2 linked regions of the Saccharomyces cerevisiae S288C genome follow. Changing the gene in region 2 together with the main gene of any one other region gives a genetic interaction. Each region holds a gene or a part of one and is shown on either strand. Other genes may lie near its edges.

What was found.
Region 1: mutations in SMA1 (region 2) and ASI1 together harm fitness more than expected from each alone (negative genetic interaction), as found in Saccharomyces cerevisiae (2 studies listed by BioGRID).

Annotation. Positions count from the first base shown.
Region 1 is NC_001145.3:503,566-507,801, reverse strand, and holds ASI1 (putative ubiquitin-protein ligase ASI1), read right to left. Parts: upstream 2,470-4,236; coding exon 595-2,469; downstream 1-594. Other genes in the region: bifunctional phosphoribosylaminoimidazolecarboxamide formyltransferase/IMP cyclohydrolase ADE17, read left to right, coding at 1-300. UniProt on the Saccharomyces cerevisiae protein: E3 ubiquitin-protein ligase which transfers ubiquitin to substrates promoting their degradation.
Region 2 is NC_001148.4:497,610-501,004, reverse strand, and holds SMA1 (Sma1p), read right to left. Parts: upstream 1,341-3,395; coding exon 603-1,340; downstream 1-602. Other genes in the region: putative serine/threonine protein kinase SKS1, read left to right, coding at 1-330; ERG10 (acetyl-CoA C-acetyltransferase), read right to left, coding at 1,713-2,909; ATP-dependent RNA helicase SUV3, read right to left, coding at 3,286-3,395. UniProt on the Saccharomyces cerevisiae protein: Involved in spore and ascus formation. Required for the efficient assembly of the precursors of the prospore membrane to a continuous prospore membrane.

The sequences.
Region 1 (4,236 bases), on a different chromosome or scaffold from region 2:
GTAACCGGCCAAATTCCAACAGAAGAACCAGAATTGTCTGAATACCAATCGAAGTTCGAGGAGATTCCAAAACCATTTACTCCAGAAGAAAGAAAGGAATGGTTGAGTAAATTAACCAACGTTTCTTTGTCATCGGATGCATTTTTCCCATTCCCAGACAATGTTTACAGAGCAGTTAAATCCGGTGTCAAATACATTGCCGCTCCATCTGGTTCTGTCATGGACAAGGTTGTATTTTCAGCTGCCGATTCATTCGATTTGGTTTACGTAGAGAACCCAATCCGTTTGTTCCACCATTAGATGGCATGAGTTCAGAGTCAATATGCCATAAATACAGAAATGACGGCAAATCGATGTATAGTTTATTCTTTCCTCCTCTAATGATATAATCGCCACTGACACTTTTATATATATACTAATGATACGATATGTTATAAGTACAATTTTAATTCGAACATTTCCCAAAGAAAAAAAACTTGATTTATTATTATGATGTTTATATGTGCAACACAGAAAGCTCTAGCTATAGTAATTAATGCTAGAGCTCCCAAACGAAAAACCTCTTTTAGATACCATGCAAAAGTTCTTAAACTATTATTTACTATCTGAAACAGGATGAACCTTACAGTACCCATGAACTTTACTCCTACAACATACGCAAGTGCTGAACCCACGTAAACCCAAAGAAATTCTGCAATCCTCGCAAATGGCAAAACATCGGCAGGGCCATAATACTGTATTTCTTTCATTGACTTTGCATACCGCGCAAGATAGATCAAAATCACTTTCTGTACCAAAAGTCTCATCTACTTCACTTAACTTTGTATCTAAGATAGACGCCCTTGTCAAAGTTTTATCTGACAGTAATTTTTGTTGAAGGATACGGCTAGTTGACATGATCCAATTATAATCAGTATGAACTTCATTATCTTCGGAAGAAAATAAATCCAGTAGGGCATCCCGAGTTTCGTTGAAAATCAGTGAATCTTCTTCCAAGTTTTCTTCATCAGAATCCCCCAGTGACTCAACTTCAGAAGGCTCGTAATCTTCAGAATACTCATCATCTGATGTGTTCAATAGTTCAAGTTCAATATCTTCTTTGTGGCCGGCACTATTATTGAGAGAGTTCGTTTTAGTTATCTTTAACATTTTTGATGGGTCGTTGTCGGGGATGTCCTCGTCCTTGTTATCTCTGAAGCCAAAGAATACTTGGCCTACAAGCTTCTTCATGATCCATATTATAGATTTTGGAAACATTAAAAAAAATCTTTGCTTTAATATTGATGAATTTTTCTTTGGGAAGCTGATGGAAGTGTTCTCTTTATACGGTTTAGAAAGTTCATTTAAATAACCGCTAATAAAAAATTTCTCATTAACATTATCCGGGATGTTAATAGCAGGAAATTCTCTTCGTATACCCTTTTCCATTAGTTCAGTTCCTGAGCATAATAATAGTGCGAATTTAGTGGCCATAGCAGAAAAATCTTCTTCTCCCGTGTAATTTAAGTATTTTTTCCAATTTCTACTGAGAGGGTAAAACTGTAAAAGTTCGCAAGAATTACGTGATTTTCCAAATGGATCCCATCTAATTAAGCATGATAATTTAAAAATCAGTAATGATAAGCAAATAATAGACACTGAAAACAGTTTTGGAAAGTGCCTAAATTTCACCGAAAATGGAAGGCTTTTCCAGCCGCCCTGCTTAACTCTTATCCCTAAGTAACAAATATGACAGAGGTTCATAATAGTACTAAAAAGTAGACGATAATTTCTAAGCCTGAAAATCTCCACCAAATGGATCAATATCCTGCTCAAAATAGCCATAGAACAGTCTATAATGTAATCAGGAGAATCTAAAAATTTAGTATTATTATTAGTCATTGTATAAAACTGAATCGAAAGTTCAAACAATGAATAGTCAGTGCCCTCCAAAGGGCTGGAATTCCGCATGATGGTAAATATGGTTTCGACACAATAAGAGTAAGCGAAAGCGTAGAATATATTCAGTAAAAATTTTTCTTGGGCAAAAGCAGGGTCGCCTAATATTTTGAAATCCTTACCCAAGGTCAGCGGACCTAAGGATACCATTGCTAATACAACTACTGCTGATACATGGAAAACATTACTCAACCATAACGGTAAAGTACGTCTGGAACCGTTGTTAAGGACGGCGTAAAATACAACGAACCGGTTCAGGACAATGGCGATTACAAAGCAAAATATGGCGTACGGGCTGAAAAAAAACCCTATTGTATCAAAAACAGACCTTAGAGTTGGGGGAATTTCTTCAGATTTAACGGTTTGCTCGTACTGCAAGTTCACAGCCCCAATAAAGGATAATCCAAGTCTATAAGGAAAGTTGATAACATTTGCGAAAGTGGAGTTACCTGAGATTACGGCTTGTGATGTTTGATTCAAATAGCTAAATGAATTTATGAACACATTTTCTGAAGAAGTGGAAGAGTTCATATTCTTAGCATAGTTTCTTTGTAAAAAGAAGAAAAAAACCCAGATAAAATTAAGAAAAATACCCCAAAGTGCAAATTGTCTATAAAATATAAAAGTAAGCAGTGATTATCTTCTTGAGTTAAAATTGTTGTGTGGTGAAAGAGTAATTTTAGTACTTCCTTCTATTTTTCTGTTCAAAACAATATAGTTTTCGTAATTGTGTTTTATTGTATTTTCCAATGTTTTTCATATTGCTTACTCAACTGACTTCAAAGTTTGATTCGTAGCTTCTCAATATTTCAACATAAAGGGGCGCCCTCAAAGGAATACGCGAGAAAAAAATAATGGTTGCTAAGAGATTCGAACTCTTGCATCTTACGATACCTGAGTATTCCCACAGTTAACTGCGGTCAAGATATTTCTTGAATCAGGCGCCTTAGACCGCTCGGCCAAACAACCACTTATCTGTTGAAAAGGTGTGACTATAGCAACTATAAGTTGTTATGAGTTGAATAGAATTTAAACTCATTATGGGATAAGCTGCTCGTCTATGCATTGGTAAAAGCACCTCGTTAATATGTAAAGGTCAAAAGGTCATATCAGCGAATAATAAATTTGGATCTTCCTATACTATATAAGAGAGGTTCACTGAACGCAGTCCGATCGGTTTATTATTTGAGATATAGGTGAATTTTGAGATAATTGTTGGGATTCCATTGTTGATAAAAGATTATAATATTAGGTAAACAGAATATACTAAAAGTTCTCCACGAGGACATAGGAATCCTCAAAATGGAATGTATATTTTTACATACTAATATTACGATTATCCCTCTTTCTATTTTATATGTTTCATTATCCTATCATATTATCAATCTTTGCATTTCAGCTTCTTCTAACTTTGATGACAGCTTCTCATAATTTATATCATCATCTAACACCGTCTATGATAATATATTGATAATATAACTACTAGTTGATAGACGGTAGTGGATTTTTATTCCAACATTATTAATCGTGACTAATATAACAAGTTCTCTGGTGGTTACCATATATTTAATGTAAAGACTCGCATGACACATATATATGACTACCACATAAATGTTTAATTTGAAAAAACTTCAGCTCTACTAAGGTACCTGTTGAAAATATCGAAATCCACAAGGACAATAATTTTGCTTGGTAATATTATTATTTTTCTTCCATTGTTTATGTTGATAATTAGAGGTTAAAAATTAGTATTAATGAAGAAGTGAGTACTGATCTTCTTATACTAAATAAGAGAGGTATATAAAACACACGCCGATTGGTCATATTAATTATGACCAATATAATAGTGATTCCGGTAGTTACTATACATTGATGTGACGACTCATATTCCTCATATATGTACCTACCATAACATGTTCAACTAATAGGTCTTTAACACAGCTTCAGTATTGTCTGAGCTTCTCGTTTAACATTCCTTCTGCAATAGGCGCAATCACACTTAAACGTATACGAGTTGTACATTAATATACGATGTAAGCATTAGATTGTTACCATAGCAACTCATGTCACTATTAATTACTCTCGTTCCAACAGTTTATTATATTATCAACCCTGTTTTTCATCTTCCATGGAATTTGGTAACTGCTCCTCACCGATTTATGTCATCTTGCTATTATATGGTAATATACCAAATGTGAAGGTATGCAATTGATATTTTTAGATTTTACCTTTTGGCAAAAAATCAGCACATTAGCAATAAGAAACCGTTTTATCGTTTTGTTCATTTTAATGACTTCA
Region 2 (3,395 bases):
CAGGAACAAAAACAAGAACAAATACAAAACCAGGAACAAGCACAACAGCAGCAAGAAGAGGAAGATGCTGAACCGGAGAGTGATATTCCATCAACGTATAATAGTGACGGAAGTATGGAAAAGTATGAATACACTAACAACCACAATAATAGTACCTTTTTAACTTCCTCAATGGACAGTACACCTTACCAATCTGATATCGATGACGTTAGTGCTTCCAAAGATTGCAAATTCCAACAAGATACATTAAGAAATAGGCTATTATGCTTACAAATGAATTTTTCTACTTTAACAGACGGTCCAAACGAGAAATGGTTACCAGATTATTGAGCAGGTCTCACCTTTATACTCACTGTATTATCTTATGTTCTAATTCGGTAATAGCTTCACCTTTTCTTTTTATCTTTGAGGTTTGTTTTTTTTCTAGTATCCTACTAGGATGGCTATAAGCAATGGCTGGAACGATTTTCATACTTTTTTTACGAACTTACGACTTTTCAGTGTCTTCTTTGATCAAAAGGAGATCACTATGGATATATATGTCCTACATAACTAATTACAATAATGATAGAATGACAGAACTTAGTCACTTTTTTTGTTTCTCAGCCCGGCGACGGCGCATTTGAATGGGTGGAAATCTTCGCTGATACCAGGTTGACAGTCTTATGATACGATTTTTTCGTCCTTTGCTTCCCCCGCAATAACCTTGCCTTTCCTCTATTTGCCGCGTTAGTAAAAGACCTTTCACAGCATCTGTAAAGTTCCTTTAATCGCATTGCAAAATACCAGGGCCTAAATGGAACTTCCTCAAACTGTCTTTCCAACCTTTCTAAGGGGTACATAAACTTTTGATATTGGATTTCCATCGATTCCCAAGGACTTCTCTTTATTGGACATTGCTTGCCTGTGACTTTTATAGGCGGCTTATAATATAGCACAAGGTCGGGCAAGTAACAAAATACAGCACTTCCTCCATTCTTATCAGGGTAGTAAGAGACTGAATCCCGAATCTCTTTTTCATTAATAACAATTTTGTTTTCTTCGATTTTCATGTTCTTGGTGGAAGAAAAAGTTTCCAACCAAGAATTGAGTTTATGTAATAATGATTCTGGGACAGGTGGCAATAAGGTAACACCCTCTCTTTTTTTCAATTCCATTTTATGATTTGCCGTTTCAGTTCTAGAAGTTTTCAAAGCAGAGTTTCGTTTGAATATTTTACCAATGGATTTTGAAAATCGTTTACCAGCACTAAATTCATGCTTGGATCCCGAATGTTGGAACAGGTGCTTAACACTCACAATTTCGGGATATTTATTAGGACCATCATTAGTACATGCCATTTCCTCTTTCCTCGCCACCAGATTTTAAGGCAGTTGATGTTTGCTTCCAAGGGAGAAAAGGAACTTATAACGGTTAAAATTAATAGAGCCTGAAGAGAATGAAGGCAGCCAAGACATTGATTAACATCCTACAATTGTAGAGCAGTCAAACGAGTTAATACCACAAATGTCAGTAATTAGTGGAACTTGTGCAAGTATCACCCGGCCAGCTTGCCAAGGCGGAAAAGTAAGTCAAAAGGCACACCTCAGCGTTTGAGTACCTGAAAAACGATGAATCGCAAATAAAACTTTAAATTATGCCTGTTATACATAAAGCCATTTATATATTTATGTATTTTATGAAAAAGATCATGAGAAAATCGCAGAACGTAATCATATCTTTTCAATGACAATAGAGGAAGCACCACCACCACCATTACAAATGGCGGCAACACCGATCTTACCTCCTTCTTGCTGTAAGATGGATAGCAGTGTAACAACCACTCTAGCACCAGAACAACCCAATGGGTGACCTAGAGCAACAGCACCACCATATACATTAACCTTAGATGGGTCTAGCTTCAAAATCTTAGTGTTCACCAAACCGACAACCGAAAAGGCTTCATTGAATTCAAAGTAATCAACAGAATTGATGTCTTCGATGCCAGCATGTTTCAAAGCCTTTGGAACTGCAAGAGATGGAGCCCATGTAAAATCAGCTGGTTGATGAGCGGCCTCACCCCAACCTTTGATAATAGCCAAAGGCTTCAAATTCTTTTCCTTCAAAACTTTTTCGGAAACCAAGATGACGGCTGCAGCACCATCGTTGATTGGAGAAGCGTTAGCGGCAGTAACAGTACCGTTTTCTTTTTGGAAAACAGTCCTTGCAGATCTCAATTTTTCAACGTGTAATCTAGCAGGTTCCTCGTCCTTCGTGACTTGAGTATCAGGCTTACCTCTAAATCCCTTAATGGTAACAGGTACAATTTCATTGTCGAATTTACCTTCCTTTTGAGATTTTTGAGATTTTTGGTAGGATTCGATGGCAAAATTGTCTTGTTGTTCTCTAGTAATATCCCAATCACGGGCACACTTTTCTGCGTGTACACCCATGGCTAGACCATCGTACGCATCGTTCAACCCATCTCTTTCGACACCATCAACAAGAACAGTTTGGCCAAATTTGGCACCCGCACGGGCTGCTGGCATGTAGTATGGTGCGTTAGTCATAGATTCACAACCACCAGCTACGACAACATCAGCATTACCACATTTGATGGATTGAGCACCCAAAATGATTGCCTTCATAGCGGATGCACAGACCTTGTTAACTGTGCTTGCAACGATATGATTACTCAAACCGGCAGCCAAAGCAACTTGTCTGGCCGGAGCTTGGCCCAAATTGGCAGAAAGAACGTTACCAAAAATAATTTCGTCAAAATCCTTGGATGCATCCAATTCTGGAACCTTAGCCAAGGCGCCTTTTAAAGCAACAGCACCCAATTCCACTGCTGTCTTGGAGGATAGAGAACCCTGGAATGAACCAATTGGGGTTCTGGCAGTCGATACAATGTAAACGTTCTGAGACATTTTGAGTACGTCTAATCTGTATAAATATATATGATATGGCGCTTGTTTTAGGCTACCTTTTTTCAGAGAACTAGAAAACGAGTAGGCTTAGCAGTGCTCTTAATGGAAGCGCTTGTTCCTCTTTTATATATTTTACTGCCCTTTGCTCAACGGTGGCCTATCAACCTGGCCACGAACGTGTGGTGGGCTAGTAGTACCGTACTCTCCAGCGAAAAAACCGGCTTGGGCGGTAAACGACAGGCACCTCGTTATAAGTGACGTGCCTGTTAGGAAACGATAAACCCGGCAGGGCACAACAATGGCATCATACCAGAAATGTATCATGTTAAGGCTTTCAAGCAGTGTAGCTGTTTCTATTTACAGGATATATCGTAGATTATGTACGCAATCTTCTTCTCGAAGATGAGAGGTGACCTCTTGTAGAACCAAAGGGCTTATGTGCGTAAGGATTCTTCTTTAATCGATCAAGTTTCTCGAAAATAATCA